Linked DNA regions of Caenorhabditis elegans. The protein of the gene in region 1 purifies or fractionates together with the protein of each later gene. This does not show direct contact. Each region holds a gene or a part of one and is shown in the gene's direction. Other genes may lie near its edges. The genes, in order: acbp-1, F46H5.3, lbp-2 and dhs-21.

The links.
Region 2: the proteins of acbp-1 (region 1) and F46H5.3 fractionate together in Caenorhabditis elegans (co-fractionation; one large-scale study listed by BioGRID). This does not show direct contact.
Region 3: the proteins of acbp-1 (region 1) and lbp-2 fractionate together in Caenorhabditis elegans (co-fractionation; one large-scale study listed by BioGRID). This does not show direct contact.
Region 4: the proteins of acbp-1 (region 1) and dhs-21 fractionate together in Caenorhabditis elegans (co-fractionation; one large-scale study listed by BioGRID). This does not show direct contact.

What each region holds. Positions count from the first base shown.
Region 1 is NC_003279.8:4,633,330-4,640,726, reverse strand, and holds acbp-1 (Acyl-CoA-binding protein homolog 1), read left to right. Parts: upstream 1-4,347; 5' UTR 4,348-4,385; coding exon 4,386-4,397; intron 4,398-4,663; coding exon 4,664-4,912; 3' UTR 4,913-4,981; downstream 4,982-7,397. Other genes in the region: got-2.1 (Aspartate aminotransferase), read left to right, coding at 1-37, 876-1,168, 1,591-1,747, 2,287-2,639, 2,919-3,192; ssb-1 (Lupus La protein), read right to left, coding at 5,325-6,173, 6,229-6,437, 6,485-6,617; ubr-4 (UBR-type domain-containing protein), read left to right, coding at 7,380-7,397. UniProt on the Caenorhabditis elegans protein: Binds medium- and long-chain acyl-CoA esters with very high affinity and may function as an intracellular carrier of acyl-CoA esters.
Region 2 is NC_003284.9:7,232,969-7,242,147, reverse strand, and holds the start of F46H5.3 (putative arginine kinase F46H5.3), read left to right. Parts: upstream 1-3,485; coding exon 3,486-3,524; intron 3,525-5,102; exon of another isoform or gene 5,103-5,246; intron 5,247-9,179. Other genes in the region: F46H5.7 (AMPK1_CBM domain-containing protein), read left to right, coding at 86-159, 252-344, 911-1,127, 1,186-1,347, 1,400-1,519, 1,569-1,790, 1,840-2,061, 2,306-2,323 and 4 more.
Region 3 is NC_003284.9:3,256,121-3,263,486, forward strand, and holds lbp-2 (Fatty acid-binding protein homolog 2), read left to right. Parts: upstream 1-4,489; 5' UTR 4,490-4,681; coding exon 4,682-4,999; intron 5,000-5,055; coding exon 5,056-5,169; intron 5,170-5,215; coding exon 5,216-5,269; 3' UTR 5,270-5,350; downstream 5,351-7,366. Other genes in the region: tba-9 (Tubulin alpha chain), read left to right, coding at 1-56; lbp-3 (Fatty acid-binding protein homolog 3), read left to right, coding at 1,286-1,424, 1,471-1,652, 1,699-1,812, 1,881-1,943; lbp-1 (Fatty acid-binding protein homolog 1), read left to right, coding at 3,038-3,349, 3,408-3,521, 3,580-3,633; fbxb-71 (F-box domain-containing protein), read left to right, coding at 6,883-6,950, 6,994-7,366. UniProt on the Caenorhabditis elegans protein: May play a role in sequestering potentially toxic fatty acids and their peroxidation products, or it may be involved in the maintenance of the impermeable lipid layer of the eggshell.
Region 4 is NC_003283.11:12,729,639-12,738,148, reverse strand, and holds dhs-21 (L-xylulose reductase), read left to right. Parts: upstream 1-4,503; 5' UTR 4,504-4,587; coding exon 4,588-4,645; intron 4,646-5,478; coding exon 5,479-5,588; intron 5,589-5,639; coding exon 5,640-5,940; intron 5,941-5,985; coding exon 5,986-6,104; intron 6,105-6,149; coding exon 6,150-6,317; 3' UTR 6,318-6,382; downstream 6,383-8,510. Other genes in the region: PAS domain-containing protein cky-1, read right to left, coding at 1,163-1,398; xbx-9 (XK-related protein), read right to left, coding at 2,170-2,723, 2,778-2,934, 3,196-3,343, 3,430-3,896; zfyv-19 (FYVE-type domain-containing protein), read right to left, coding at 6,426-6,715, 6,812-6,900, 7,281-7,549, 7,945-8,097, 8,144-8,320, 8,378-8,510. UniProt on the Caenorhabditis elegans protein: Catalyzes the NADPH-dependent reduction of L-xylulose, D-xylulose, L-(+) erythrulose, D-erythrose, D-threose, L-ribulose, 1,4-dibromo-2,3-butanedione and 2,3-heptanedione.

The sequences.
Region 1 (7,397 bases):
GATTAATTTAGGAGTTGGAGCATATCGTGATGATCAGGTAAGGGGGAAATGCTCAGAATTTTTTATTCTAGAATTAAAAAAAAAAAAGTTTTGAAACGAGTGGCCGGAATTTCAGGGCTGCAATTAAATAATTAAATAAATTGTAATTTCGGACCAAAAATTAATTGAAACCGGTGATAAAACCAAAAAAGCATTAAAAAGAAAAATATTTATTAAATATGAATAGTATTCGAAAAAATTATTAAAGACCTAAAAAAACCCACATTTTTCTATTTTTCACAAAAAAAAAGTGGTTAAAGTGAAAAAAGTTAGTTTTTTGAATTTTTTGGTGTTAAAATACGATTTTCGTTAATATTCTAACAAAAAACCCAAAAAAATGGCCGCGGCAATAATGGCTAATTGTCGAAAATTTTAAAACTCGGCAATTGTCGAAAGTGTCGGTTGCGGAATTTTGGAAAATTCTGCCAAAAATCCAATTTTCATCATGAGAATTAGGGTCTGGGACCAAGAAAAAAAAATTAAAATTTGCGAAAACCCAAAAAAAAATGATGCTTGAATTAATTTTTTTTAAACCGTTAAAAAGTGAACAATTTTTGGTTTTTTAGTTCTAAAACACCAAAAAATCAATTTTTCGTCGATTAACCAAATAAACCAAATAAAATACCAAAAGTGTCACAGCCCTGATGAAAATAAGTTGGAAAAATTATATTTCTTCACCAAAAACACTTACTACAGTGAAAATTAGTTTTTTGCAAAATTTTTTGAGTTTTTTTTTTCAAAATTTTTGAACTCGATTCATGTCGATGTCCAAAAATTTTTGATTGCCGTCTCACCCTCGATTTAATATTCAAATTATTGTAATTTTCTATTTTCAGGGAAAACCATTCGTGCTCCGAGCGGTCCGCGAAGCTGAGCAGCAAATTATAGATGCTAAAATGGACAAAGAGTACTCAACAATCACTGGAGTTCCAGAATTTGCGCCATTGGCTGCGAAACTCGCTTTCGGCGACAATTCCGAAGTGATTCGCGATGGAAGAGTCTTCACAACTCAATCGATATCCGGAACTGGTGCTTTGAGAATTGGAGGACAATTTGTGGAAAAGTTTATTCCATCCAAGACTTTGTTTTATCCAACACCAACTTGGGCTAATCATTTGCCAGTTTTTAGGTAAATTTTTTAAAATTTTATTTTTATTTTTCGGAAATCATATTTTTTAAAAATTTAAATCTATTTTTTTTAATCGAAAAGTCGAAAAACGAAAATTTTTCGATTTTCGGGAAAACAAAAAATCGAAAAAAAATTGAAAATTAACAAGAATTTGCAGCTTTTAATTTTAAAAACTTGTAGCTAAATAGTTTTCGAAAAAAATGTTTTTTTTTGTTTTTAGATTTTCCAAAGAAGCTACACTCTTATCGAGGAAAAAAATCGGGTTTTTTTGAAGAGAAAATCGAAGAACCATACTTTTCGATTTTTTGATTTTCCGTAAAGCAAAAAATCAAAATTTCCATGCACTTGTTGTATTTTTTCCCCTGTTAATTTCTGTTTCTGTTGCTTGTTGTCCACTTCTCACCCTCACCTCCTCTATTCAGAAATTCTGGTCTTTCGATTCAACCATACCGTTACTACAATCAAGAAACTCTTGGATTTGATGTTGAAGGAGCTCTCGAAGATATTTCAAAGATGCCAGAAGGATCTGTTATACTTTTGCATGCTTGTGCACATAACCCAACTGGTGTTGATCCTACTGTATGTTGCTTTGTTGTGATGTTTTGTTTTGTTATTATTTCGGGCCAAAAATACGGTACCCGGTCTCGCCACGAGATTCGTTTTGTTACATGCGAAAAGATGTGCGCTTTTAAAGAGTACTGTAATCTCAAACTTTAGTCGCTTTGGAATTTTCAAATATTTTTCTTTTTTGCCATTAAAAAAAATGTATTTATTGAAAAAAGCGAACAAAAAATAGAAGCACTAAATGCTTAACAAATCTTCAGAAAAAGTATTAAAAATTCATTAAAATGCGAACGAAAGTTTAAAATTACAGTACTATCCAAAGACGCATACCTTTTCGCATTTAACAAAAAAAAATTTCGTGTCAAGACCAAGTACCGTATTTTTAGCGCGAAATTTCGAGTGCTAAAAAACTTATTTTGTGACGAGATACCGTAATCTCACCTAATATTTTATTTTGCACTGTAGATATTGTGAAGATAACTAACTTAAAACAAAAATAATAGTTTTTAAATTGAAGACTCAATAAAACTTTTCAAAACTCATTGAATTTTCAGAAGGAGCAATGGAAAAAGCTGAGCCAAGTGCTGAAAGAACGAAAAATTCTTCCATTCTTCGATATGGCTTATCAAGGATTTGCATCAGGAGACGTTGACGATGACGCATTTGCTCTTCGTCATTTCATAGAACAAGGACACAATGTTCTCGTTGCTCAATCATTTGCAAAAAATATGGGATTGTACGGAGAACGTGTTGGTGCATTTTCGATTGTTTGTGATTCTGCTGAAGAAGCGATTCGTGTTGGATCTCAAATGAGAATTATCATTCGTCCAATGATCTCAATGCCACCACTTCATGGAGCAAGAATTGCTTCACGGATTTTGAGTAATCCAGAGTTGAAGAAATCTTGGTAGGAGTTTCTGAGTTTGTGAAGTCAGAAATTTAAAGATCAGAAACTGAAAAAAATAATTTTGGACCAAAAAAAATGAGATTTGCGAAAAACCGGTTTCTAAGCGACTGATTTTCTAAAATTCCAAAGAGTGTGTGCCTTTAAAGAGTACTGTAGTTGCCGAAAATTTGCTTTTAAAAATATTTAAATAATGGGCAAATTAGCTATTTTTCAAAAAAATGGATCTTTTTTATTTTTGAAATATTGGAAAAACGAAATCTATAAAAATGATTATTTCAGGCTGGAAGATGTGAAACTAATGGCTGACCGTATCAAATCAATGCGTACGGCTCTAAAAGACGGCCTGAAAGCTGAAGGATCTACTCTCAACTGGGATCATATTACCAATCAAATTGGAATGTTTTGTTTCACTGGAATCAATGAGAAACAAGTTCAAAAGCTCATCAAAGAGCACTCAGTGTACTTGACAAATGATGGACGTATTTCTATTTCTGGTATTAATACTGGAAATGTTGCATATTTGGCTAAAGCTCTCCATGACGTCACCAAGTAATGATTTCTCTAAGTTCTCTACGTGTCTAAGTTTCTTTCCGGTTTTATTGAAATTCAGGTTTTGCTTTTTTAAAAAGTCTATAAAATGGTTTTTGGATTTTCTTTTTTCGTCAACATTTTTTCTTTCTTCTTTTGGGTTCACATTCCCATTATCTTATCTTTGATGTTTTTCTTCCTTTGTTTGTTTGTCTTTTTTTTTTTAATTTCAATCTGTTTTTTTATTTTTAGGCTTTAAATCAATTTTATTATTGGTGGGTGAAACTTGGAGTTTTTATAGTTTTGTAGTCAAATTTCTATTTCCAACAAAATTGAGAAAGTCTAAAAATTGTGGCCTTTATCCGTTTTTAATAAGATACGGAGCTCATTCAATGAGAAAATTTCAACTTCCTCCATTTTTCCATTATTTATATCAAAAATTGTTGTTTTTAGGGCTCCCGATCAAGAGTTTCACCAAAAAACTATTAAAACTAAAAAATATTTTTAAAAATCTAATTTTTCTTCCTTCCGACCAAAAATTGAAATTTTTTAAAGAGTTTTTAAGATCGAAAAACCAAAAAAAAATCCTTCTTTGCCCAAAAAAAAAAACGAACTTTTTCCTATTACTCAATTGCAGAATTTTGCGAGTTTCGACGCAACAACACGACACCTGGTCTTGGCACGATCGAAACCTTGCAGCTACAGTACCCACCAGCTTCACTTAATTGCAAAAACTATGCAGTTGTTGAACATGCGAGTACTGTAGCTGTGAAGTTTCAGTCGCTTCGAGACCCGGCACCGTATTTTTAAATTAACAATTGCTGGCGATTAGGTAATAACGCTTTTGCTAAAACCATCGGTGTCTTATCAAAAGTTAATAATTTTTTTCAAGAAAAGAACTGAAAATTGCCAAAATTTCTTTCTTTTTTCTAAACATTTTCATATTTTGTCCTTCTTCTGTGATGGTGTGATCACATAGTTTGATATTGACCACGAAACGTTGTTGTATTCTCAAAAAATTGATACGATTTTTTAGTGATAACAAATGATAAGAGTGTCCGTTTTTCTGACTGTATACTTCTAGTGCGTGGTTGTGTACGTCAAGATAAATACAATATACAAAGTGCCCTTTCATCATTATTTTTCATGTTTCATTATTTTAAAATCTCTTAATTTTCAGGTTCAAACTTTCAACAAGCTCTTCTCATCGTCTTCAAAATGACCCTCTCGGTAAGCTTCAAATTCCGATGTAGAAAATCCAAAATAATCTCAAATTCAGAATAATGACAACAACAGAAAGCAATAATTGTAAAACCGTGATTTTTCAATGTTGGCAAATTCCCTTCAAAATAGCGGAGGGAACTTAGTCAAAATTGAAAAAGAGACATTTTTATAATTTGGCGATTTTTTTCTGAATTTGAGACTACTTTAGATTTTTTGAAGCAAAATGTTGATATTTTCCCAATAAAATCTCACTAAGTCTTTTCAATTTTCAGTTCGACGACGCTGCTGCCACCGTTAAGACCCTCAAGACTTCCCCATCGAATGATGAGCTTCTCAAGCTCTATGCTCTGTTCAAACAAGGAACCGTCGGCGACAACACCACCGATAAGCCAGGAATGTTCGATTTGAAGGGAAAAGCCAAGTGGTCTGCCTGGGATGAGAAGAAGGGACTCGCAAAGGATGATGCTCAGAAGGCCTATGTTGCTCTTGTTGAGGAGCTCATCGCCAAGTACGGAGCCTAAATAAATTCTGTTTGATAATACGTTTTTTTAACATTTATATTTTTGTAATGAAGATTCTGTGATTCCGAAGAATTTAGACATAAAGTTGCCTATTTGATCAGCAAACTTGAACTTTCAGAAGAATGCATTTTCCATGTTCCCTGTTCCGAGTGATCTGCAATTTCTTTTTTTCCGGTCTGCTACTCTAAAACTTTGGTTTATCCGAATAATTTATAAATCAAAACCGCAACTCTTTTAAATTGGTAATAATACAGTAAAAGAGATGTTAAAAAGAGTGAGAAGTCAACAAAATGAGGGTATTCAAGATTAATGAATGGGGGGACAACACAACAATAATGATAACAACAAAAAATGGAGGAAAAAGTAAAAAAAAAAGAATGAGATTTTTGGGTTTGTTCAACAAAAGATGAAATTACTCGGCGGCAGCAGCAGCTGGAGCACCATCCTCAGCGAACACAGTACGCTTAGCCTTTGGCTCATCAGATCCATCTGCACCTTCATCGTTTGCTGACCGCTTATCACCTCGGCGGTCTCCGCGTCCACCTCTTCCACCACGACCTCCACGACCACCGCGGCCTCCTCGTCCGCCACGACCACCGCGTCCTCCACGTCCACCTCCTTGCCTCTGATTCTTTCTGGCATTGAACTCTGTCCAGTATTTCTCCTCCTCTTCTCCATCCAAAACTCGTGCGGAGAGCTCAGCCTCTTGAAGAATGACTTTTCCATCAGTTCCAGCTGCAACAGCGTTGTCCCAGGCCTTCTGCGCTCCTTCGCTGTCATTGTTGAAGCGGATTTCGGCTGTTTTGCCTCCATTTTCATGTGCAACGTATCCAACAGATCCGTGCAATTTGAAGAAAGTCTTGATGCTGTCAATAGTTGAATCAGGTCCAAGTCCATCAACGGCCAGAATGAGACCTTTCTCGTAACGGACAGCGTGCTGAGCCTTTTCTGATTCAATCGCTTCAGAAGTATTCTTAGCTGATTTGGCAGCCTTGTTTGCAGCACGAGCTTCCTTGGTTTCTTTGTTCTTCAGAGTCCAATACTCATCTTGCATCATCTTGGTCAACTCTGTCTCTCCGAACTTAACTTCAGCCTTTTGTGCGGCTTCGGCCTCCTCTCTAGTTTTGTAAGTGATGAACACACTTCCTTTGAAGGTTCTGTCTCCTGGCTTCAAGCGACGCATAAGAACGTTCTCGGTTTCTCCGAATTGATTGGCCCATTGAATAATGTCGTCCAATTGGGTGTCAGTGCTGAATCCTTTCTGAAAAATGAGAAATTGATAATGTAAAGACAAAATCAGAAAGATACAAACGTACCATATACACAGTTCTGTGCTTGATTTTTTGCCAGTACTCCAACGAGTTCTCCGGTACTGGATTCTCTTCGTTTCTGCGGATTTTCTGGTTGTCTTCGGAGACGCTGATTATTCCCGAACCAGAGTTCTTGACAGCGTTGGCAATCTTTTCAGTGTCCTTGCTGATCGAGGCTAGGCGGTTGAAATTGAGCATCGTGGTAATTGGGACCCCTGAAATGAAAAATCAACAATCTTAGAATTGAAGAAAAACAACTTACATCCATCGTCTTCCTTGAGTTTTTCCTGGAGGAACTTGTCTCTTGGAAGATTGATGTTTCCGAAGTAATACTCCAATTGCTTAATGATCTTCTGATCAGCATCGTCGTGAACGGCGGCAGCGGTCTCACCCATTTTCTTGCTGAATAATACAAATTAACAGAGAATACAACAGAAACGAAAACGAAACAGAAGAAACAAGGCATGTAACATTTTGGAACAAATCTTACTTCAAACTTCGACTTTCAGTAATGCGAAAACTCATTTAACGTGTTTTCTAATTCCTGAAGTTGATTGCTCGATAATTAAACTGAACATAATCAAACTAGGTGAAATTAGGCCTAGAACGCCTAAAAACTAGGGAATTTGAGATTTTCTCGAAGTATATTTTCCAAAAGTTGATTATTTAAATATTAAATGTTAATTTTAATTTGATTTTCTTTTAAAAAATGTAAAAAAATAAAGGAATAACAGCGACCGATAAAAAGAAAATATAAAAAATGTGTGCAATGAGTTTGAAGTTTCGAAAATGATTTTTTGCAACCCTGGCACACACTTTATGCAAAAACGGCGCACGCAATTGATGCTCCGCCCACTTGTTATTTATTATTTTTGTTCGTTTTTTTGTTGTTCTTCTGTTTTTCCTCTGTTGAGATGGGAAATTTTGATGAATTTTCGATTAAAAATAATAATAAAATAACGAAAATTTCGAGAAACAAAAGTTTCAGCTGATAAAACTTTGTAAAACAAAGAAAACCTCTGTATTTCTTTTTTGTTTATTTATATTGCCTCGTGATTGCGAAAGTTAACGCAATACATCTTGCTTTGTTGAAATATTATATCGATTTTCTAATCAATTATTTCCAGAAAATACAAAATTAATTGAAATTTCGATTAATGGATCCGCGTGAAACG
Region 2 (9,179 bases), on another chromosome or scaffold:
GCTTTCCCATTGTCGATTAGCATTATCCAAATCCAAAGTTCCAGTCAGTCAGTCAACAAAACGTTTAACATTTTTCTATTTCAAGGTTCGACAACAACACCGGCAAGGTGTACCCACCTCCAAACGGATGGGATTCAGTGCCGATTTTTATCCATTTAGGTGAGAGACGACTTGTCGATACGAGAGAAAACATTAATTGGAAAACAAGAACCATAAATTTGCGACGGTGTCTAAGTTTTTCTTTCTTGCAGCACACGGATCACGCCACGGAACCCATTTTGCCGACTATTCGAAGGCCAATGACGCCTTTGAAAAGAACATTTCAGCTGTGCAGAAGCTTTTCGGTAATTGGTTCTATTTGGTTTACGTGGAATTTGGGGTTAAAAAGACCTATATTCGCAAAATCGTTTAGGAATGAGTATCATGCATGGGGCAAATCCAAACATGAAGCCCATTTCAAAAAAAAAAACGAATTTTCCGTTAACAGTGAAAATTTTCTTTATTGCCCCAATAGTTGCCACTATTTTCCAGAGCTGGCAATTTAAAATGGATTACTGTATAAAATTTGTTTAATGTTCTACCAATTCAAAATATTGGTTTTAATATTCTTGAAATTTTGACATATTTGACTGAGTAACATAAAAATCTGATCATCAAGCCAAAGTAGTATTTCGTGTTTTTTTAAGTGCATAGCTTTGTAACAGTTTTGAAGTACCAGCTAATTTTTTTCCTGCTCAATCAAAACACGATCGCAGCTGTGTAAACTGTGAAATCTCCAAATGCTTCAAAAGCGATCTGACATTTTTTGTCCAATTCAAACTTGTAAACATGTTGTCGGTCTCCGAGTGGTACATTTGTGACAAATTTGACCGGCGAAATTGAAACAAACAGAGAATTTGCATTATTTTAGCTGCCGCGGGACTTGGTGGAAGGTCACAAAAGGTGTATGCAGCTGGAAAGACCCGTGCTCGTAGTACTTCAAAGAAAAATCAGCCAAGAAGCCAGTTTGATGCTCAGCCTGAAAATGTGAATATCAGCGAGGAGAGCGAGGGAAGAGACTCCGAAAAGGAAAAGAACGACCGACAGCTGGAAAAGCTGAGAAACCGAAATGATGAGCTGAAAATTAGGTAATAACCCTAATTTCTCAATATGTTTAAATTTTTTTTTAATTTTTCAACTTAACAGAGTGAAAGAATACAAATCCGACTTGTCAGCCGCTCAACTTAAAGTCAAAAATCTTGAGAAAAAGTTGGAATCCGCCCAATCGGCTGATTCTGAAGAGAAATTCGTTCGAATTGATTCGGAAATCGACGAGAAACGATCCCAGGATCACGATGAAGAAATCAAGTATGATAATCAAAATGCACATTTCACGTTATTATTTAATTAGTTCTTTCAGCAACTTGCACAATGTCATTGAAGAGCTTCGAAACAAGTTGGCCACTGTTGAATCGAAAAATAAGGATCTTGAGACCAAATTCTCCGAGAATCAAGATTATTTGAAGAACGCAAAAGACAAGTAAAACATTTAAAAGTTCAAGAGTTAATCGGAAAAAAAATTATTTTAGGGTAACATTCTTAGAGAATCAACTCAACTCCGACGCTCATGAAGAAGTGAAGAGTACCGCCGTCAGAGCACTAGAGGTTAAACTCGGCTTGGCCAACAATTCAATTCGTCAAGCTGAGGCTGAGAAGCAACAGCTCCAGGAGGCTAACTGGTACGCGAACGAACGTGTCGGCAAGTTGGAACAGGAGAACGGATATTTGAAGGGAATCACTGAACAATTGAAGTAAGGCATTGAAATGACAAGCAATTTTTAATTTAGGGTTTTCTTTCAGGGCCAGAGCAGACACCTCACACGCTGAAAAAATGCTGAAGGACAGCGAGAAGCGTGTCTGGGAGATCAACGAAGAGAAGAGCAAGCTGGAGTGGCGTCTCGGTGAGCTCTCCCAATGGTGGAACGATGCAAAGTGGAAGGTCGGCGAGTTGGAATCCTCTGTTGCCCTACAGAGAAATTTGCTTGACACGGCAAACTCGAAGATTCAAAGCCTTAATGATCAGTGAGTTTTCTTTGGAGTTGGGGTCAGAGCAATACGAGATTGAATGTTTCATGAATTTAAAATATCAAAAACGGCGCTTGTAAATCATTTCATTACATAAAAATAAAAACGAAAAATTGCATGAACATCTTTGATCACTTTCTAGAATTACCCAAAAAAGGACTTTATAAAAATCAAAAACTGAATAAATTTTCAAAATAACAGATAGGAAACTTTAAAGAATTTTTTCATATTTCATTTTTAGGTTAATACAGGAAGTGAGGTAAGGAATACAGATTTTATTGAACTACTTGTAACTTAACGTCTGGAAAGCAATGCACTTTATATTTTTTTTTCTGAAATTTGCGGAGTAGTTGAATTGAAAACAATACTAACTATGTTTTGTTTTTCTTATTTAATTTTTAAAAATTGAAACGAGTGTACAGTGTATTTGACGGTGTGAATATAGTGTTCCTCATCCAAAGCAATATTTCATTCGAAATCGAAATTCCAATAATTTAGGAGTCACTCCAGCACCATGACCATTCCCACCGACGGATTCACCATTAGCCAAAGCAACCAAGGAACTTGGAACCTTGCCAAGTAAGTTATACCAGTGGTTCTCTTGATATCACTATTCCAAGTATTTGCAGCGGAAGTAACCAGCCATGTTTCACCGGAGCCATCCCATCCATCCCACTTGTCTCAGCCCTGCCATTCGCCGGAGCCAATCCATTCATTTTTGGGGGAGCTAACGAAGGAAGAAATGTAACGTTGACCATTTCGAACACAGAGCAGGAAGTTTACTTGACGGTAAGTTTTTTTTTGCCAAATAGGTCTTCATTTGATTTTTCAGGGAAGTTTTATCAACTGGAAATGCACATTGAAATGCGAGAAACTGGTTAGCGGCAAGAAAGGAGTCACGGTCAATTTGACGCGTGGAAGGTAACAACATTCAAATTCAAAACACAAATTTCAAGTAATAATTTTAGACACGAGTTCCGATTCATGATCAATGGCGAATGGGCGACGTCGAGCGACTATCAACAGGTGCCAAACGGTTTGGGCGGACAGAATAACATTATTTTTGTCGAATAATAATTATTCCCTTGATCACTTAAATTGAATTATTTTTTCTTACCTGTCAACTTTGTTTCCATTTACTTCTCCTCATTTTTTGTATCTTTATTTCTTGTTTGTATTACATACCACTCCATTCAAACTTATGCAGTTAACCACTCTATTCACTAGATTGTGTTTAGAAAATTGTGAAGATTCTGAATTTTTTCGGGACTTTTGGCATTGCCATGATGTGAATGAATATTTTCGGTTAATATTAATTCAGATTTCAAATAACTTTTGTTCAATATGTAAAGTTTTTTTACTTAATTTTTAATAATTGGTTGTTTTTTCTCAATTTTCCGAATTAAATTTTTCAATAGAAGATGTTACATCGATGCTCGAGAGTATTGTCACAATTTTTGGTAGGTACTTTGCAGTGGTTTTGTTTCACGTTGACAACTACCCTCAATACATAATATGGCGTTTTATGAAAAAATTATAAAGAAGTTAACATATACTTTCGGGCACAATTTTTGCAGTACTCTAACTATGTACTTGATTGAAATCTCAGCAATCAAGTAAGGAGCAAATAATTCAATTAATAAGTTCCATCCTCTTTTATTTAAAATAGTGTTTTTGCGCATTAATTGATTAACTTTAGAAAAAAATCAACAAACAAACAAATTTGGAAAATGTAAAAGTTTGTTGAAGATCTAATTTTTTCCAAGATAAATTAATTAATTTACAGAAAAGTTTTTTGTCCTATATCTTTTATTTAAATGTTTTTTTTTTCAAAAAGTTAAAATCAAAATATTCAAAAATATTATGAAAATGTGCTATTCAAACTGACGTCCTACACGTTTTCAAAAATTTCAAACTTTAAAACACATTTCCATATTCACCACTAGAAAAATATATATTTTTTTAAAGTAATCAGGTGTTAGTACTTGGAGTCTAAAATTTGCAAAATTGAAAGACTTGAGATAAAAATGAAAATGACGAATAATTGAGAATGTGCAAGAAATATTTTAATTAAAGGCTTCGCATGTGTGCTGAGTGTTTTCAATGTGTTCCATCTTTGTGTGTGGCTTATTTTTCAACAAATTTTTTTTCGACATTTGTTTTTTTTTCGCAGAAAAATAATATGAAAGTTTTGCATTAAAAAATGTGTTGATCAAAAATCTTTTCAAAAGGTAAAAAGGCAACTTTATTTTTGTCTGATATATAACATTTTGAAACACCTGCAAATGAAAACGCAGTCAAATTCCCATTGCACAATGTCTATTCGATTGCTGACAAAAATATACTTTCAGTATTCAAATTAACGTTAATGGCTCTTTTTGTTTGTTTACACTCCCAAAAAAACATTGTGTTCGTTCGAACCAACTGTAATAGGTATGAGCCTATTTCAATAATTATATTTTTGTTTAATTCCAGCAACAATAGTTTTTTATTTGGTGACACGATACATAATTTGTTTGTTAATCTGGTATTTTTGGAGTTTATTCCAATTTTGATTTCGCGCAATCAATGCAGTGAAATAAACTTTGTAAAATAGAAAAAAAGACTCTGGAAAGCTTGGTGATTATGTTCATAGCTAAAAATATCACAAGTAGGTTGATGTTTATGTCTAGATTGAGAATTAAATTATCTTGATAAAATCCACCATTTTTTAAAAACATTTTTCTCAACTTGAATATTGTCTAAATTATAAATTTTTAGTTAAATGTTCTATTTTTCTACTTTTCAATATAATTTGTAAAAATGTATTTTCCAAATTCTCTTGTTTTAGAAAATCCCCAAATCATTCAATTTTCAAATAACTCGGAAAAACTCAAAGTTTTATTACGCGGAGATCAACCTTCCTTCTATCTTCCTGTCTTCTCATGTAACTTCTTATCCCGTATCCCTTTTTATCACTTTTTCTGACTGTTTTCTACTGGCTCATCACAACGTTGCGTGAGCCTTTGGCCGATAGAGGTTAACTGTGTAAAGCATGTTCGGCAACTTCGGGAAAGATGGATGCCGATGAGAGCAGGAACAGATGGCATTCGACGGCAATGAAATAGCAGATGGCGGTATGAGAGTCTTTTGAACCTCATCCTCGTCGGCTACCACTTTCTTTCTTTTCACAACATTTTTTTGCCATACTCTCCGATGGCCGGAAAACAATTGTTGTGTAATATCCAGCGTTTGCGTGAGCCACCGAGTCTTGTGTCAATTCGAGTAGAGGAAAAAAGTGAAGAGAAATAAATTACCCATGTGTCAATTGTCGTTGGTCAAAGAACTAGACTGAAGAAACAAGAAAACGACCCAGAACCAGGAAATAACACGAGAAATGATGAACCTGTTATTTAGAGGAAGAAGAACCGTTCGAAATTGTTGCTCAAAGAGACAAAAAATAGTCTGAAAATGGTGCATTCCATTATGAGACTTTTCAAAAATCTCTCGGACACATTGTTGCAGTCTAAAAGTAACGTGGGTGAACGCAGAAAAAATCTTCAATTTTTCCATATGGATGTGTCGGCTGGATAAAAAGCAGGGCTACATGTAGATATGCATAACAAGTGAAGTCTAACAAGTTGTTTTTGGCGATAAATGCTGAATCGCAAGCCACTCACAAACTAATTATTTTATGGAAGTACAGAAAAAAAATTATTCAATGCCACGAGATTTGAGAAGAAATCAAAATTTTAAAAATTGGACTTTTGCACACCTTTCAATTTTTTGTGTGTTTTTTTTTAAGTGGAAAATCTAACGAGTAACTGAAAGTAAATATCTTTTCGAACAATTGAAATGAGAAAGTGTATAAGTATTGAAAAATCTTTTTTTTTAACTTTGATTACTTTTGCTTCTCGAGTTAATAATGGGTAAATTTACAGATTTGTCATAACATACAACTTGTGCTTGTTTCAAGCAAAATGTTTGAAACTTAATAATTTTTGGCAATCGAACCAATCGAGAATTACCTTTTTCAGTTTTGCACACCCCACTTTAATAGTATTTTTTCACCTCGGCACATCTTGAAATTGTAGTAATAATAATTCAGTACAGAAATAAAAGAAAAAGGTTAAGTTTGTTGTGAATTATACATTTTTACATAGGACACAAAAGAAATAAAATCCCCCGAAGATTAATAATGGTGCGTTTATTAATAGAGGTTATAATGTTTTTTTTCAACAGCGCATAACTGTGTGTGTGTTTCAATTTTTTTTTTAATTTTGTAGCGAGGCAATTGAAAATATTTATTCAGATAGTATTATTTTCCAAAATGAAAGGATGAAACCGTGGGGAGGAGGCGTGAAAATAGATAATCCTTGTTGTGATTAGTGGCACATTCAAATATATTCGATAAGCCGTATTTGGGACAATGGTTGCCAAGACGACGAATACCTGAATTTTATCCAAATCTGAACGAATATTTGGCAGTGTTATTTTTACCTTGATACTTATCAACCTGAAGCTAAAGTAATCTGTTTTTGTTCATATCCAGGCTCAACATATTTTTTTTCTTCTGGAAATCTGTCGTTATAAGTTTTCATTTTCATTGTTCATTTCTTGTAATCAAAATAATCAGAACTGATGTTCAAAAACCACTTCTTTATTTTCTACCAAGTTATTCATCATTATCTTTCACAAAGTCTTAGAAGACATTTGAAAGGTTCTGAGAGATTTTATAGGTTCTGATATCAAATCCATTCAGCACTTATCAACTGTTGACAAACAGTTTTTCATTTATTTGCCACGTCAATTCAAGTATATCCACGATTTGATATATCTTTCCAGCACGCACAGCCCACACAACCACCATGCACAGCGCAGAAACCAAACCGTTTCCTGCTCGAACTCTGCATCTCTTTGTCTCTCGCATTTCAATTGTCTTCCGCCTTTCTTTCTCAATTCAGTAAGTTCATTTGCCGAGTATTTATGAATGGGAAGAAAGGGGAGAAGGAAGGACGGGCGCCGCGGATGATGGCAGAAGGCCCCTCGCGGACCTCATGCTCTTTCTCAATTCCCGAGACACTAGGCAAGATGCGGAGTCGTAGATCCGACTGGCAAACAACTTTCTTCTCTATCCAATGTGTTTTGTGTGCGTATGTGGCAGTTGGCAAGAAGGCAAAAAAAACGCGCGGCGCCCTCCGCGGCACACTAAACCGAGAAACCGAGTGAAATGGGAGAAGAAAGTGTGTTACAAATCGGGAAGCAATAAGAAAGAGAGCAAGAAAGTGAGCTTCAGTAGTAACATGTTTGTATGTTCTTGCTTGTACGTGGCCTTCTCCCGATTGATGGTCATTGCAAAAAACGGTGTGCAGTCGCGAAGTGTTTGGGGTCACGTACACACCTGTAGAAAGGCAATCAAAAGTACAAGGACAGAACTGTAACTTAATATTCTACCGGAAAGTGTGTCAGGGCAACGTGCACGGCATCAAATCACAATTGGATAGATGCCGTTTCTCCACAGCCGTTATCTGACCTCGCGCACTTTGTAAACAGTTGAAGGAAAATAGAAAGAGGAAAACGACTGTTGGTCAGATGTTATACATCTTTCAGTTTCTATCACTATTTGGGTAGTAAGGTCAACAGCTGCTTCCGGTCAAGTCAACTGGAATTGCTGAAGAGTTTACTTTTTACAATATCAAAGGAAAACTGCAGATGAACGACAGACTTGTCTGAAAACTGAAATGACTTGGTTTTCAATTCCTTATTTAGTCTCATAATGCTCCGTGAGCACGAATTAAGGATCTAACACAATTCGCAAGTCAGAAAACGGCTTAATTTCGAGTCGCTCTGTTGTGCCCGGCTTCGTTAGCGATGTGTGGATCGTACATTCACAATACAATTACTGCAAAACTCCTGGATACATCGCCAACTGACTGTCCCTAGATTTCGATTATCCTGTGTAAATTGTTTTTTGGTGACACTATTTGCAAAAATCAACATTTTAAGAACATTTTTTTCCATGATTTCATAGTATTTCAATTTATCACATTTGATAGATGATTCACCGAATCAGAAACAAAATACATTTTTGTTTCACACTGACAACAATCAGAAGACCAGTGCCACGTCATTACAGCCCTATGTTTCGTTGTCCAATATTACACCGAGAATTGTGTGACTTTTTGTGCGGATCAAGTTACCCTCGGGAGAAAAGAGAATGGCATGATGATGCAAATCTGAAACTGAGACCAAGTGACAATGTGCATTCTTGTGCAGATTGAGGGTAAAATAATCTGAGTGAAACGACATACTTCAACACTTCAACATCTGGAATTGTATTGAAGAACTCTAGATAAGAATAGCGTTATCAGCAATGATGTACATCTGTAAACAAGCCATTGTTGTCAGGCCTCTAGGCTTTCAGAAGTGATCGTTTGATTTTTTTTTTTGTAGAAAGTCTACTATGTAAATTGGCAGCAATCTTAGTCAGAACAATGCAAATCGAAAAATCTAGATGACGTTCCGTAAAAAGAGCCAAAAAATTAATCTTCTCTATTTCTCTCATTTTTTTGAATAAATTTCTTTTGGGACGTAAAGAACAATAAAATATGCATTGTGTGTGTTCTCGACCCTTCTCTTCCACACTTCCAAACATCCAACGCTTCCAAAGAAAAAGTGACTGTGGTCGCTCGATGCCCTCTTTTGATGCAGTATTGATAGAGAAATGATACAATGGTAGAGTGAGAAACGTGAGGTTCGTCACAGAAAAAACACAGTTCGCGGCAATCAAAGATAACCCCAAAACCAGTGATCTTTTGACGCAAACATCTCGGGTGAGAAGTTGCTTCTTGGAACTAGAGTCTAAGAAACCGAAACCGAAACTTAATCAAACATGCTGTTTGTAAAACACTCCCTCGAGCTTGCTCATGAATAATTCAATTTCTCGGCACAGAAAAATATGGATATGAAAGGACGGAAGGAAGAAAAAAGAGCTGGAGCTGTGGAGATAGTTGGGAGACAATTAGTAGAGTGCTTCACAGCAAAAGTTTGCCTAATTGGATTTTTATTTCTCGTGGGAACTTGCACAATACTCTAATTAATATTATAGAAATCAAAGTATCAACGAAGTGTAAAGA
Region 3 (7,366 bases), on another chromosome or scaffold:
AAGTTGGACTGGATGCAGGAGAACCTGATGAGGAGGATGATTACAGTCATTATTGAGGAAGCTTACTTACAAATTGCAATATTAGAAATGATGTTTGACAAATATAAATATTAAAACTTTGAAATCAAACATAAATATTTAAATCTAAAGTTCAATTGGATTTTTCAGTACTTTTTCAAGCTGTGTAAGATAGTGTAAGTGTAAGATAATATGATGTTGCAAAAAACATTCTAAGTATAACTGGAATTCAATGTTATAGAATAAACGTACAGAGTTTGTACATATCATGAATACAAAAACTCTATTTTGTAATACTGTCGCGCTCATGGAAACCATTCAAATTGGAATTCCAAGGAGAATTATCATCAATGGAAAAATTATTAAAAATGCAGACTTACCAATAAAAAACAGGGCAAAAGAAACAGTGAAAAAAATTCGAATTTTAGTAATTTTTTGAAAATGTTCTAAACCGGTCCTTTTACGAAAATTGTATTGTTCAGCGACTTTCGGTTTTTCCAGGTGTCTAATCGTTCCTTTTCTATTCGTTTTATTTATACGTTTCAGCACCACATTTCCGTATTCTTCCATTTTTTCAAAGACAAATTTGCAGGAATACCCTTGGTTTTTGTAATCTTTTAGAAATACATTTAGCTTTTGGAATGCGGATTTTTTTCTTCATATTATCGTTTCCCCCGTTCCACAGTTTTCTGTTTGATCAGCTTTCTCCAGCCTCAGTTTTCAATTTTTATTTCTAACCTCTAACCGTCATAAATCAATTGTATGTAGTTGCTACTTCTGTGTGCTAACCAAATGTATTATCAGTTTTCTCCGACCGTTCTGCGCGGAGTCATATTATGCAAGTGATGATGGTGCAGAACAACACTGATAACAACTGTCCGACCACTACTTCATCTTATCATTTCTTACGCATCCCGTTTTGTCAGTTCTATTTGAATATATTAGTTGTAATAGCAGAGTGTTTTCCTTTTATTTTAGTTGTTTTTTCTTATTCTCCAGTTGTGTTAATTGTTTTTTTTCTAACTTTTTTCCAATCTTTCCAAATTCCAATGTAATATATTTTGTGCATTTTGTGTGCTCCAGAGTACACTCAAAGCATAGGGCTATGAGGCAGATGCTCACAATTTCGGATCTCAATGATACCGAGCCATTGGGCCTATGTAATAAATCAAGTGAAGAAGAAGAATATAGATAGATCTAACCCCCAAGATAAAATCATTGTCCATCTGCTCTTGCGACCAATCGATTCTTCATACATTTACTCGTCATGAATCTGTACTTAACTTTATTCTCCTTTTGCTTTTTAGCAATTATGGCTGAGGCGGCTTCTGAAATTCCAGAGAAGTTTTTTGGAAAGTATGATCTCGACAGAAGTGAGAACTTTGACGAGTTCCTGGCTGCTAAAGGTAAAAATAATTGATAGTGTACATTTAATAGTAATTTTAATTACAGGAGTGAGCTGGTTTGTGAGACAAATGATCAAATTGGCAAAAGTGAGCAAGGTGCTGGCCAAAAATGAAACTCCTGGAAAATACAACATGGAAAACTTGACTTCAAAGAAGAATACACTCTACCACGGGTGGGAGCTCGGGAAAACTTTCGAGGCAGAAGGCCTTGATGGAGTTGCACACAAGGTTTCAAAAAATATTCAAGTGTCTTAAAAATATTGTTATATTTAAGATTACCTTCTCCTTCAAAGACGGAGTTTTGTCTGAGCACCATATCCGACTCAACGACCCAGAACACAGCGCGGAGACGTACTACTACACTATCGAGAACGATCAACTTGTCATGGTGTGTACTTCGTTCTCTTTTCCTTTTTTCCATTTTACAACTTCTTCCACTAATTTTCTCATTTTTAGAAAATGGTCAACAATGGAATCACGTGCCGTCGTTGGTTCAAGCGATCGACCGGAAAGAAGTAGAAATTATAAACACAACATAAAACTGAGCTCTTCACATTATTAATCACAGATGTTTATTTTTTCTGTCCTTTTAAATAAACAATTGTCCCTTTAGACTTGCTCTGCCATTTTCAAAAATTGCATGATCTCACAAAAAAAAACGAATGAACAGATGGAGGTCAAACATCGAAAGTGGACATAGAACAGATTAGCCAAGGTACAAAGTAGATGGGTCTATTGTAGCCCAATAAAACGTGAGAATCGTATTGGCCAATTTACGGGAAAGGCCATCTGGAAAACAATGATCTCTAATATGAATTCTGTCATCTGGGAATAGGGCTCAAACATTTGAAAACCAGAAAAAAAAACAATTTTGTGTCTTAAAAATTTTAGCTAGTGTTGAAAGTTTAAAAATATTTTTGAAAAATTGTGTTTTATGGGATCCTTACAATATTTTTTCGTTTTCATTTTGAAACCAAAAAAACCCAAAACCGAATGTACCGAAATTCTGCGGCAAAAAAACTTTTTTTCTGAAGTCGTTTTCTTTTTCTGTGGGTCGAATTCTATATGAATAAAAATTTTCATAATTTTTTCCGGTAGTTTTTTTTGGTTTTCCAAAGTCCCAGCCCTGCATGGATTGTGTTTTGAACTGCAGACCTGAAGACCTGTTGCCGTATTCAATGTTTGCTGAAGAAATGGAGAATCATACTATAGACTATGAAAGATAATGATAACATAAAATTATATCAACCAAATAAGGAAATTGCAATTCGATTCGCCTTAAACCTTCAACGAAATTATTTTGAGTTGATTGTTCGGTCTTCCAGGACCCGATTCATGCAACTACTCTCTTCAAAAATATCCGAACTGACCCCAACACACGGAACAAAAAAAATCTGCCCCGAATCATTTATGCTACACTCTCTTTCGATACCCATCCGAGTCCAGCCGTCCATCTCTGCTAATCGTCAGCGCAATCGACATGTGGGCTGCACTTCTTGCCGTACAATGTTGTTTACGACTGTGCAAGTAGGCGGGGTCCACGCAGACGACGTCGACACACAGCCCACAGTCCTGCCAAGACGTCAGTCGTTCATTCATCGACCTAGCCAACCATGTGCGCTAAAATCGCTCTTCTCCTGGTTCTTGTTGGAGCTGCTTCAGCTGCTGTTCTCCCTGATAAGTTCTATGGAACTTTTGACTTGGACCATTCCGAAAATTTTGATGAGTATCTCACTGCTAAAGGATACGGATGGTTCACTCGTAAACTTGTCACTTTTGCCACATTCAAAAAGGTGTTCACTAAGACTTCCAACAAGAACCTCTTTGACTACTCCAACTTGACATCAAAGAAAGACGTCCATTACAAGAATGTCCAACTTGGAAAAGCCTTCCAGGGAGAAGGACTTGACAGCACCAAACACGAGGTACGCTTTTGCAAGTTTTCAAGTAACCTTTCAAATTGATTAATTAATTAATTTTCAGATCACTTTCACCCTCAAGGACGGACATTTGTTTGAGCATCACAAGCCACTCGAGGGAGGAGACGCCAAGGAAGAGACCTACGAGTACCTTTTCGATAAGGAATTCCTTCTTGTGGTAAGTTATAAACATTTTTTAAAAACCAATTTCACATTCTCATGATTGTAATTTTCAGCGCATGAGTTTCAATGGAGTTGAGGGACGCCGATTCTACAAACGACTCCCATAAATATTCAGAAACTATTGTAATTTTTGTATGAATTGATTTCTCAATGTACTTTTTTTGCCACTGATGTATTTCAAGTTTCAAATAAACTGAAAAGTTAGATCGATTCTGTAATGTGATATGGGGCAAAAAATAAGAAAAATAACGCGGTTCTTTTGTGATTCATGCTGCATAGCCCTCTGAAGTTTTTTGTTTGGGAAATGTTTTCACTGGTTTAAAAATGTACATATTAGGAGTTCTAGAAAGCAAAGTTGATTAAAATTTGAATTTTTGTTAACGTGTAAAAGTGACACAAGTGTTAAAAAGAAAATTTTGCACATTGAAGACTTGAAATTAAGAATCAAATTATCAGATGAATTGAACCTATGCTGGAATCAAAACATGAAAGTTCGATTGCGCCGTGATATTTGCAAAAACGTAATTCAAAACACAAAAAGGACACAACCAGTTTAAAATTTCGGGTGGGTCAAAATCCAATCACTTTTCGGTTTTTTTTTTTCGATGTTGTGTTCGAAAGTTTTCTATAAAATGGAGTTTTTTCTACTCTTTCGTATGCTCTTTTTTATTTTTTTTTTCCTGATTTTCACATTTAATTTCTGAATAAGGTACCATTAAATAAGAACCATTTCTCAAAATACATAGTTTAATAACTAAAATCATTGGATCTTGAGGACCTCATTAAAAATATTTTTTTAAGTCTTAAATTGTTTGATGTGCAGTCAAAAAACGTAGCAGTTTTCTTTTCAATTTTCTTAACGCGTTTAAATTTATTTCGACAAAATTCATTCTGCATTTCAACAAGTAATCGATGAATTGTTTTCGTTCGGTCTCTTAAATTTTGTTTATTATTAGCTTCCAGGTGTTGTGAGGATTTTTGAAAATCAAGTAAGTCCGATCATCAATTTGTTGTTGCCATCCGTGCCGTGACCCTATATTACACACGTGGCTGACCTCAGTTTTATTGTGTTGTCGATTGAGCAACTGGGCGGAGTCTTGATCAATCTTCATTTCTGTGGACACTTCAGTCATTCAGTCATTGACTTGAACAAAAATGTCTTCGAAATTCCTCATCTTACTCGCATTTTGTGGAGCTACCCTTGTGGCTGCCGAACAGCTTCCAGAAAAGTTCTATGGAACCTTCGACTTGGATCACTCTGAAAATTTTGATGAGTACCTCACTGCCAAAGGATACGGATGGTTCACTCGAAAGCTTGTAACCTTTGCGACATTCAAGAAGGTTTTTGCCAAGAATGCTAACAAAAACCTCTTCGACTACTCCAACTTGACATCGAAAAAAGATGTGTTCTACAAAAACGTCCAGATCGGAAGCAAGTTCGAAGGAGAGGGTCTTGATAACACCAAGCACGAGGTGAGTTCCATGCCATGTACTTTTTATTTTATTTTTATTTCAATTATAATTTTCAGGTTACCTTCACTCTCAAGGACGGACACTTGTTCGAACATCACAAGCCACTTGAAGAGGGAGAATCCAAGGAAGAAACCTATGAGTATTACTTTGATGGAGATTTTCTTATTCAGGTAAAATTTGGTCAATCTATTTGACATACATTTTTGTTAATTACAGAAGATGAGCTTCAACAATATCGAAGGCCGCAGATTCTACAAGAGACTCCCATAAAAGTTTAAACTTATTCTATTGAAATTTTCTTAAATTTGCAATTCAATTTCATTTCCGAAAAAAATAAATTTATTTTCAAGCAATCTTCTGATGTTTTCAATTTGGAATCTTGGTGGAATGTATTATCCCAATTATTAGTTTTTAATTTTCTACAGATTAAAAAATGAACATGTTGAGGTAAGAAACTTAACACTAGAGTATGATCTCGCTGCCAAATTCTGCAACAACCATTATTTAAACTACAGTTGTCGTTTTCTTTATGTGATTTCATCTAAACGTTGAGTAGCACCAGTGGGAAATTGGCAAAAAACTACGCCTATGGTGCCAAAAGGACCAAATATCAATAATTTTGGAAAATTGTTCATTTACTGTTGAAAAGTGACTCCGTTATTGCCACTCATAATTTTGAAAGTGGACCAAAAAAATTTTCTACTATTTTTACACATTAATTTTGTTTCAATTATTTATGCAGAGATAAAGATCACTTAGCACCTATATTCTACATGTTCTATCATACAAAAAAAAGTGCCATTAATGTGCTAAAAATGTGCTGAAAATGTGCTAAAAATGTGCTAAAAATGTGCTAAAAATGTGCTAAAAATGTGCTTGAAATGTGCTAAAAATGTGCTAGAAATGTGCTTGAAATGTGCTAAAAATGTGCTAAAAATGTGCTAAAAATGTAATTTTAAAAAAAACTTTCGTACAAGCTATTATACTTGATTGGCATTTTTTGGTATTTTTGACTATGCTAAACAGTTTTCTGAAATAAAAAAGAATGACTCCATATGACTTTCCAGGACTTTTGAATTTTTGAAAAAAACCAGCTTTTATATATTTTTATCATTAAAAAAAAAAAACTTCCGTACAAGCTAATATACTTTGATTAGCATATTCTGGTATTTTTGACTATGCTAAACAGTTTTATGAAATAAAAAAGAATGACTCCATATGATTTTCCCATACTTTTGAATTTTTGAAAAAATCAGCTTTTATATATTTTTATCAATTAAAAAAAAAAACTTCCGTACAAGCTAATATACTTTGATTAGCATATTCTGGTATTTTTGACTATGCTAAACAGTTTTATGAAATAAAAAAGAATGACTCCATATGATTTTCCCATACTTTTGAATTTTTGAAAAAATCAGCTTTTATATATTTTTATCAATTAAAAAAAAAAAACGTCCGTACAAGCTAGTATACATTTTTTGGCACTTGCTACAATAAATACATTTTTTAAAAATTCCTTTACAATGCTTTACCTTCAAAATTTTCTTTGTCTTCATTTTGCATTGCAACTGTATGTATTACGAATATGTCTAAAAATGAGAAATTTTAGTCATATCTTACGTGCAAAGGGATTGTCACGTAGACAACGAATTATTGTAACTCACGGTAACGCGGGTTAGCATTTCCAGTGGTCAACTGTGTCTTCCCATACTCCACAAGCCAGCTGCCTAATATCGATTCAGAATAGTCCATTTTCCCTTGTACGTCAGAGTCATCTTGCACAGTAGTGGATAGTCTTACGTCAGTTGCTCTTTTTTTCTTCCACTCGCTTTCGTCCACTCAACCTTCTCCGTCATTTTGTCTGTACTGCTCATTCTGCTGTAATGAATATTTTACAACTACCTTCAAAGGCTCTCCGATGCACACTTCAACACTGCGATCTTCTGGAAATGTAAGTTATTATCTTTATCATAATTAAATTTAAACAATTTCAGATTGAATTTCTCTTTTGTCTCGAAAAAGACAAAACAGTTTGCAAAATCTCTGCATCGAAACGTCTCTGTGGTTGAAATAGACATTAATGATTTTGTGGAAGTTCAAATCTGGAAATTCGAAGTCACCCAACGCCACGATCGAGTCAAGTTCACATTTTTCTCCAACATGCATCGTAGTCTTCCGGTCGAAGATCCCCAGTTTTTTATGGATCAACTTATCCACAACGGAGTTATTGACGGTCCAGAAAAAATGAAAAAGTTCGGAAACGGAGAGCATTTGAAAATCCAAAGTTCAACAACTGGTAGAGTGATTTGGATGAGCATTCCGAGCATGGGATTACGAAAGTATGTTGATCACTTACTGGATGTTTTA
Region 4 (8,510 bases), on another chromosome or scaffold:
CAATAACCAGTTTTTGGAATCTACTAAACTCGGCCGGGCTCAAATTTGAGTTTTATTTTTGCTGAAATCTCTACTTCAAGCGTATCGAAAAATGTATACTCACTATCAAAGGAACCTTAAACACTTCTCAGTTATTTAATAAATTGAGCTTTGAATTGAGCTTTGAGCCACTTCTAACTCGTGTTTGTCTTTTTATGGCGCAATATGTAAATTCTGCTAATTCATTCTCTCCGATTTTCTCAGCCGTTCGTTCATATTTACTTTTAAATATACAGACTCTGTGGGATATTCACCTTATTTCATTTCAACACACACGTGACGTCAGAGTGTCCGTGCGGAAAAAGAGCGGAGCACGGAAAGTTCCGCGCGGAAAGAAAAAGGTCTTTGAAAGAAGTTGGTCAAACTTAGAACATGATGACCCTTTAGCGGGAGGTGAAAGGGAGACAAGAAATTGAAAATGTTTATTTAAGAACTGGTTAGGTTTCGAAACTTGTAAGATATCCGGGAAGAAATTTGAGCTTTTGAAAATTTGGGATTAATTGTGAAATCATTATCTTATCATAGACATAGACGAACATAAGAAAAGTTTTAGACCACATTATTGTGGACTATATACATCTTCCAACTAGGCCTAAAAATACCTACTCTCCTGCTTACACGCATGCCATAAATAGAAAAATAAACAGAAGAGAAACTTAATTTGTTATGAAAAATCATACTGTAAGGGGTAACTTTGCAAAAAATTCACTGCTCAAATTTAAGACCAGATACGGCTGCCTTGTTGGAACGCTTTTTAGAATTTTTAAATTGCATGGAAGACCTAGTAATATCCGTTTCTTCACTTTATTGTGAATATTGAATTCCTCAAAATGGTATTATTAGGCTTTGAACAATTGACATCTAAACATTTTGTTTTTGAAAATTACTGTCAGCTTTTTTAAATAGTCAAAACCTAATCATATCCACTATGAAAAATAGAACCCCTGCAAAATTATTGAGCAAAATTATGAAACTATAAAACTGATGGCATGGATGGAGGATGAGTTTCTAGGATCTAGGATTTCTAGGATGGTTGAACTGATAATTGAACTTAGCAAAGTTTTCAGAAGAAAGATAGAAAAATAAAGTTTGAAGTGGAATGATATAATTAGATACAACTCACCTTTGCTGGCCATTGACTAAGTTGCTCCCATTAGAGCTTCCTGCTGAAGACATTCCCATTGTATTATTATTAGGAACATTAATTGAATTGTTGTTAAGTGCTGAACCACTACTGCCAACCGATGCTCCAACGTGATAGGCACAATGTTGCAGTTGAAGAGCTTGTTGAACTCCGCCTCCAGCTCCGGTTGTTCCGGAAGAAAAGGAAGAAGCATGTAGAGGCACCGTCGTGCTCATCTCTTTCTTCACGGAGCTCTTCGTGCAGCCACGCAGACTATGCGATATGTGCGGGAACACGGGCGATCTTCGTGAGGTCACGCCCTGACCATCTACCTCCCGAACTCCGCGCGGACACCGCGTGTTACGTCACTGACTATCTCCGCCCGCCTAGAAAAGGAAAGCACCTCTCTCGTTTCGAATGGACAGTAATCCTCACTGTACTTGAGAGAGCCATGGCCGCGGCCGCGACTGGCGCGTCCATTGTTTGCTCGATCACTCTCTCTTACTTTCATTTACTCTCTCAGATTTCAATTTCACTCATCTCTTTCATTTTTCCATCTTGTAGGTTAAGGAAGTACGGGGGGAAGTACCTAGTTACTGCCCCCCAGGTACTGACCACTGTCTCTGCACTCTTTGTTTATCAACACGGAGGTGAGGAAAACCGCTAGCTAAGCGGTGCCAGCATGTTGCAATAGGTAGCAAAAGTGAGTGTACACTGAGAAATGTGTACTTTTCTTTTTCCGCATTTTGACCTTTCTAGGAAATTGAGTACTTTTGGCGTATGTTAAGTGATACTTAGGGAGAGCATTAAACAGGGTTAGTTTTTACTAATTAAAAAAAAAGCTAAACACACATAATAAACAGTTATAATGAGTTCTAAATCATAACTTTACTGTCGTAATTATGCATTTACCGGAGTTGTTTTTCATTTTAACTTTTGAAATTTGTTAACAGGGAGTTTATTTAGTGAAAATGAAAAATTCAAATTAACTTAAAACTCTTAAGCTCTTAGTTCACTTGAGCTGCAGGATGTCCGTTATCATATGCCATTGATGGAGTATAGACAATTGTTGTTTGCATGTTTTGTGGAAGTTGAAGCATACCAGGAGCGAATCCGATTCCAGGATACATTGGTGGAGCTTGTGGATGACCATGAGCTGCACCATGAGCTGGCGAAGGTACTTGGTGGGGAATTGGCATGGGTTGAGGATGTTGAGCGACTGGAGCAATAGCATGATTAACTGGAGGATTTGGAGGTGTTGGTGGTGGTGGACTCTTTTTCTCTCCGGTATCCATTAGCAATGGTTGATTTTGGGTTGCGATGAAGACCTTGTTCTGTGTGGCGGTTGGATTTCCAGTTGGGTGATGTTGACGACGAATCCATTGATCAATGGCAAATCTTGATGAAACGGTTAGGAAGAAGGCAACTAGCATGAACAGGCTCATGAACAAACGAACAGTGTCAAATGTCAGAAGTTGAATTGCCAGTGCAGTGTAGTATACAGTTTTTTCATCGTCCGAGTTCCAAAGGTATGGCGCGAAAAGTTCGGCGATTTTCACATCTGAAAAGAATACGATAAAACCAATTAAAATTCAATTCAGTTGCAAAAACTTACAAAACTCAAACCATTGAGGAATATTCATTACAATTACAGCAGCTGCTCCAAAACCAAGACGGCTACGTGCATCATCGACAACTGGATCACCAGTCAGAACTGCCATGTTTGTTCCGGCTGCTGGTTTTGGTTTGCACATTAATCCAACACACAAGCACTGGAAAACATTTTTGATTTTCTATATTTAAATTTCATTTGAAGGTGGAATTGTTGAATTACTGTCAATAGATATGTGTAGGGGTGTAGAAGTAAAGTGCAAAACAATTACACTGAAAACGATCTTTAAATAGGATCACACCACTTGTTGGCTTCGGTTAAATTTTCTACTATTCTTTGGATTTTTTCACACTTTGTTTAATACCTCACTAATGTATAACTGGGCACTGATGTCCACCTTTAGAGATCAAAAATAGATTACCACTAGAAGCTCGGCAATGATTCCCACTGTGCACAAAAGGTAGGTAAAAAACAGTGCAGAAGCAGGAAGTGGGTTCCATTGGGATGCGATGAAATGATATGAACCAGAGAGTATAGCAGCAAAGAAGAGCACAGCAAAGTAAGATGTCCTGGAAAATATCGGAGGCATCAACTATTCATTTAACAAAAAATGTTATTCAAGATTTTTGCTGTGTCATTCTAACCATTTTCTTACCATGAATCACAAGGATTAAAGTTTTGTCTTTTCCTTGCAATTACAATCAACGCCGAGAGAAAAATCACAGATCCAATGGATGTAGTGAGGACTGCTGTAGTGTAAAACCAGTTGAAGAACATCAGAAAAACCATGTACCACCATCCATAAGCTCCAAGCATGATACTGTAGATAGCCAGTGCAATCTTGAACAGAGATGACAGTCCAAGTGGAATGTAGACAATAGTCAGAAAGACCTTCGTGATATCACGCTTCATTTTCAAAGAAAGCAGAAAGAAAACTGCGATGATTGAAACTTCAATTGCGGAGAGTCCAGCTCCAATTGGTCCTCCGTAAAATGCTTTCTTTGTGTAGAGTTCATCAGGAAAATCACAGCTTATCTTCACTTTTTTCTTCACAGTTGTTGAATTACAAAAAAGAGTGGTAAGTAAAGGAAGACCCGGGACTGGGTCCATGTCCGTCGACATGGTTACACGATCTTTATATCACTTCAATAGTTGGGATTTTATTGAAGCTGAGATTGAGAATAAGAAATGTGGCGAGTTGAGTGGCTAGATTGAACAGGTGAAATGCCATGTTGCTATGGTTACTCGTCACGAAGTTTCAGCTGTTCTTGGACGCAGATCTTGTGATATTGAAATTGGTTGTTGATGTAAAAAAAATTAAGACGGAGACACTAACGAAGCTAGCCAAAACAAACTTTTTACGGAAGGTTGAGCTTAATGTTAAGTGGGACATATACGTTTGATGGTACCTGAAACTACCAGGAAAGTATGATATTTTGCAAGTCTTTGAACTTTTGGGATCATTTTTGCTCTTGAACTCATCCTCTAATATATATCATAAGCAGCAAAAACAAAGTACTCGATTTTGCTGCTTATGATATACTATTTTTTGAAACGAGCGTTTTAAAGAAAATTGTGTACATTGTTTCGGTGCTCAATAGTTTCATTGTTACATACTTTGCAAAATGAAAGGGTTTTCCCTGTCGATCTCGAAATAGAAACCATTATGACGATCATCAATACACAATTGGACGCAGATTGTTAGAGGAATGGCATTGATAACAAAAATAGTCACAATATAAAAGTTGATCGTGTTGGGTAGAATGGGGTAGATACTACACATTTTCTGATATTCATATCATCTGACGAAACAATGCCCGCCAATTACGATTTCACTGACAAACGTATACTTGTCACAGGAGCAAGTCAAGGTAAGTCTTGAGATGTTGAAAAAGTTAAGATGGGTTGTTTCAATACAAACCAAATACACTTGTTTTGGGTTCCATTTAACAAATATGAAATTGAGATAGCTCACTACAGGAAATAGACTTGATATTTAGACAGAAAGTTATGTTGAGATAAGTTTTTGTACCACTCGGAGTTGGTGCCAACTTATTGCCCAACTTTTGACCTATAGTTGAAAACTTCACGGAAAACGTCAAATCTCTTTTCCGACGATTGTTCTATGTTTTGAGTTTAGATATGTTTGCAAGGTTTGAATTGAAGTTGACCAGGTTTTCCCTGGTCTAGTATAAGTTTATTTGTAGTTTGAAGTAAGGAAATGTTAAAAATTATCTGCTCAATTAAAAAAAACCATTAAACATTTGGAGCCACTGAATCAGTTTTCTGAAATCTCATGAAGATTTGTACTTTTTAAGTTTTCAAAATGTTTAATCCATATTAATTTAACATTTCAAATTTAGGCCAATGTGATAAAAGACCGATGGTCTCTCTGATTACTTCCGGTGTAATTATGATCTAGTTCAAATGGAGAGGAAAACGTTGATATACGATAATATGATAACACTATAATCTTTAATCAAAAATTTGTTGTATCATCAACATTTTATCATTCCGTTTGAAAATTATAATTATTTTACGATTATGTTTGAGGAAATTTCTGGCATTGAAAACAAGAGTACATCCTTCCTAGTCGGTAAAAAATATATTACGCGAACAAAGCTAAAAATAGAATAAAAATCGTTCATGAAGACTTCCGATGGGGTGATTGTGAATCATACATCACAATTTATCACATTTGCAGGAATTGGAAAAGAAATCTGCCTTTCGTTGGCCAAAGCTGGAGCGCAGGTTATTGCATTCGCGAGAAATGAAGCAAATTTGTTGAGTCTTGTCAAAGAGACTACTTCTTTGGTAAGTGAAAATATAAAATATTACACCAATCTGATTAAATTAATATTTCAGAGATATACAATAATTCCAATTGTTGGAGATGTGAGTGCCAATGAAGAGGTCCTTTTCAAACTTATCGTACCACATTTCCCAATTCATGGTCTTGTAAATAATGCTGGAATTGCAACAAATCATGCAATTGGACAAATTACTCAACAATCAATTGATAGAACATTTGCAGTCAACGTAAGGGGACCTATTCTCATTGCACAATTAGTTGCTAGAAACTTTGTGGATAGACAAATCAAAGGATCAATTGTTAATATTTCATCACAAGCAGCCATTCGTCCATTGGATAATCACACTGTTTATTGTTAGTTTAAAACTTTACTGAAATAATGTACATCTGAAAGTTCAGGTGCATCAAAAGCTGCTCTTGATATGGTCACAAGATGTCTTGCAAATGAATTGGGATCCCAGAATATTCGAGTTAATAGTGTCAATCCAACTGTTGTGATGACTGATATGGGAAGAGATGTAATAATTTTCAAATTGAAAAGAGAGCATAATTAGACTTTTTAGAACTGGAGTGATCCTGATAAGAAGAAGAAGATGCTCGACAGAATGCCGATCAAACGTTTTGCTGAGGTTGACGAAGTTGTGAATGCTGTCCTTTTCCTTCTTTCAGACAATGCTTCAATGACTACTGGATCCACTTTGCCTGTCGATGGAGGATTTTCGAATAACTAAAGTTTTTAATTTTAAGATTGAGACGATGTATATAGGTGAACAATAAATACATTTATTTACAAGAAGCTCGTAATTTAACATACATAGAAAAAAGATAAATAATATTTACTATTGTTTTGAATCTTTTCTGAACAACTTTTCAAATAATCCCTTTTTCTTCGGTGAGCTCGAGTTGCTCGGTGTTGACGCCTTGTTTGATTCCGAAGTTTGAGGAGGCAGATCTTCTGAATTTTCGGCTTCGTGAAGAATCTTTTTGAAAGTCTCTTCGTCTAAGGACTTCTCGTCTTCATCTTCATCTTCATCTACAGATAATTTTTCGTTTCTTCGATCCCAAAATCCACCAATTTCTTTCGTGATCTTATCATTCCATTGAATAGCGTCAAGAGACTTCTGACGAGCTGAAATTGTAGCAAAATTAAGAAATTAAGCTGGCAGTAAAAAGGTTTGTAAAAGACTGTGTTGAAGAAATATTCAAATTTTCGTTTTAAACTTACTAGATTTCATGAGAGTTCTGAGTTCAGCGGCATCATGTTCTTCTTGCTTCTTGGTTTCAGCTACACGTTGTTCTGCGTCTTGAAGAATACTGGAATACTATTGAATATGCGTAAAACTTTAAAAGTCTACAGCAGGGTTAGTACTTTTTTGGGGTTTGTTTATTTTTGTAATATTTCGACGAAAATTTGTTTTTTTTTTTGGTTTTTGTGACAAAACACCAAAAAACTAATTTTCTATATTTTAAACACTTTTCATATTTTACAAATGTTCTTTAGCAAACTGTGGTTTTCAGTTTTTGTAAAAAGTTCCAATTTTCGAATCCAAAAAAAATTTTGTTTGATTTTTTTTGGTTCGAATTTTTCGGTCCCAGTTCTACAGCTTGCTGACTGAATTTTATTGAAAAGTATTGTAATTCTCAAAAAAAACTGTATTTCAGTTTAATTTCAAATAAAAAATTCACCAACTCACTTATTAATCTCATTCATTTCTTCTTTCGTTGCTTCACTAAACTCTGTGTTTGCAGAAACCATTGATTCTCGTATTGAAGCATCATCTTCTCTATTTTTTTCTTTTTCATCTTCAAATATTTTCCTACGTCTTGCTTCAAGCTCATCCCAGTCTTTATGTTCCATTTCCTCTTCTTTTTTTTCAATTCTTGCACGATCTTCAGCTACTCGCATTAATTCAGATGGATTATTGGCGTTCATCGCAGGTTCCTTGGAAGAAGACTTTAGCCACTGAAATGTTAAAAATGGTATTTAGGCGTAAAAAATCAACTTCTGAGGTGGACGGCAATTATTTTCGGAAACTCTACAAAACGACCTACTGGCCAATGTTTTTCTAAAATCTTACAATAAAAATTAGTGTCAAAATATAGAAAACTATTTTGTTTGAAAGAAAATAACATGTATTTCAGTTGAAACGCTTGAGAAAATTCACGAAAACGGTCTGAAAGTTGTTAATTGCCGAAAACAGAGCTCTTTAATTTGATTATCTGCAATTTGTAACTTTAAGGTCATTTTAAACACTTTTTTTTAAATTTTCAACTGAAAAAATTATATTTTCAGATGAATCAAGTAATTTTCTATATTTAAGACACATTTTTAATTAAAAACATCCTTGTCCAACTTACACTTTGAGGATTACGTATCACTTCTACATCACATTCTCGAAGTTTTGCTAATCGTTCTTCAATTTCTGATATACTGAGTGGTTCAATTTGTGGTGAAATATCTTCTCGCAGTTTAAGTCTTCGCTGTTCCAGGTCATTGGTCGGATAATTTGGCTGAAAACTGAAAAATAAATTAAGAAAATTCCGTGACGCTAATTACCTTGGTCTGCTGCGATGGAATTTCTGGCGAATTCCTGAATTTAGTTGCTTTGACTTCACTATTTTTAATCTGATTTTGATTTGTGTGCGAATTCCTGAATGATGGCGGTGGAAGTCCATCACCCCACCAATTTTTATTCGATTTATTCGAATTATCTGGTAGAGGCGTTGATGTTATCTGAAAAAAATCGTGGGATTAATATCTATTTAGTTTTTACTTTGTTCTTTTTCTTACAGTCGCGCTGGGCTTCATTTTGGCAGATTCCAATTTTTGATAGCAATTGTTACAGACAATCATTGGTAAATCCGAAAGTGTGGGAATAATTGCACGATGAGGCAGACATTTCTTACAGAAGGAGAGAGCACAA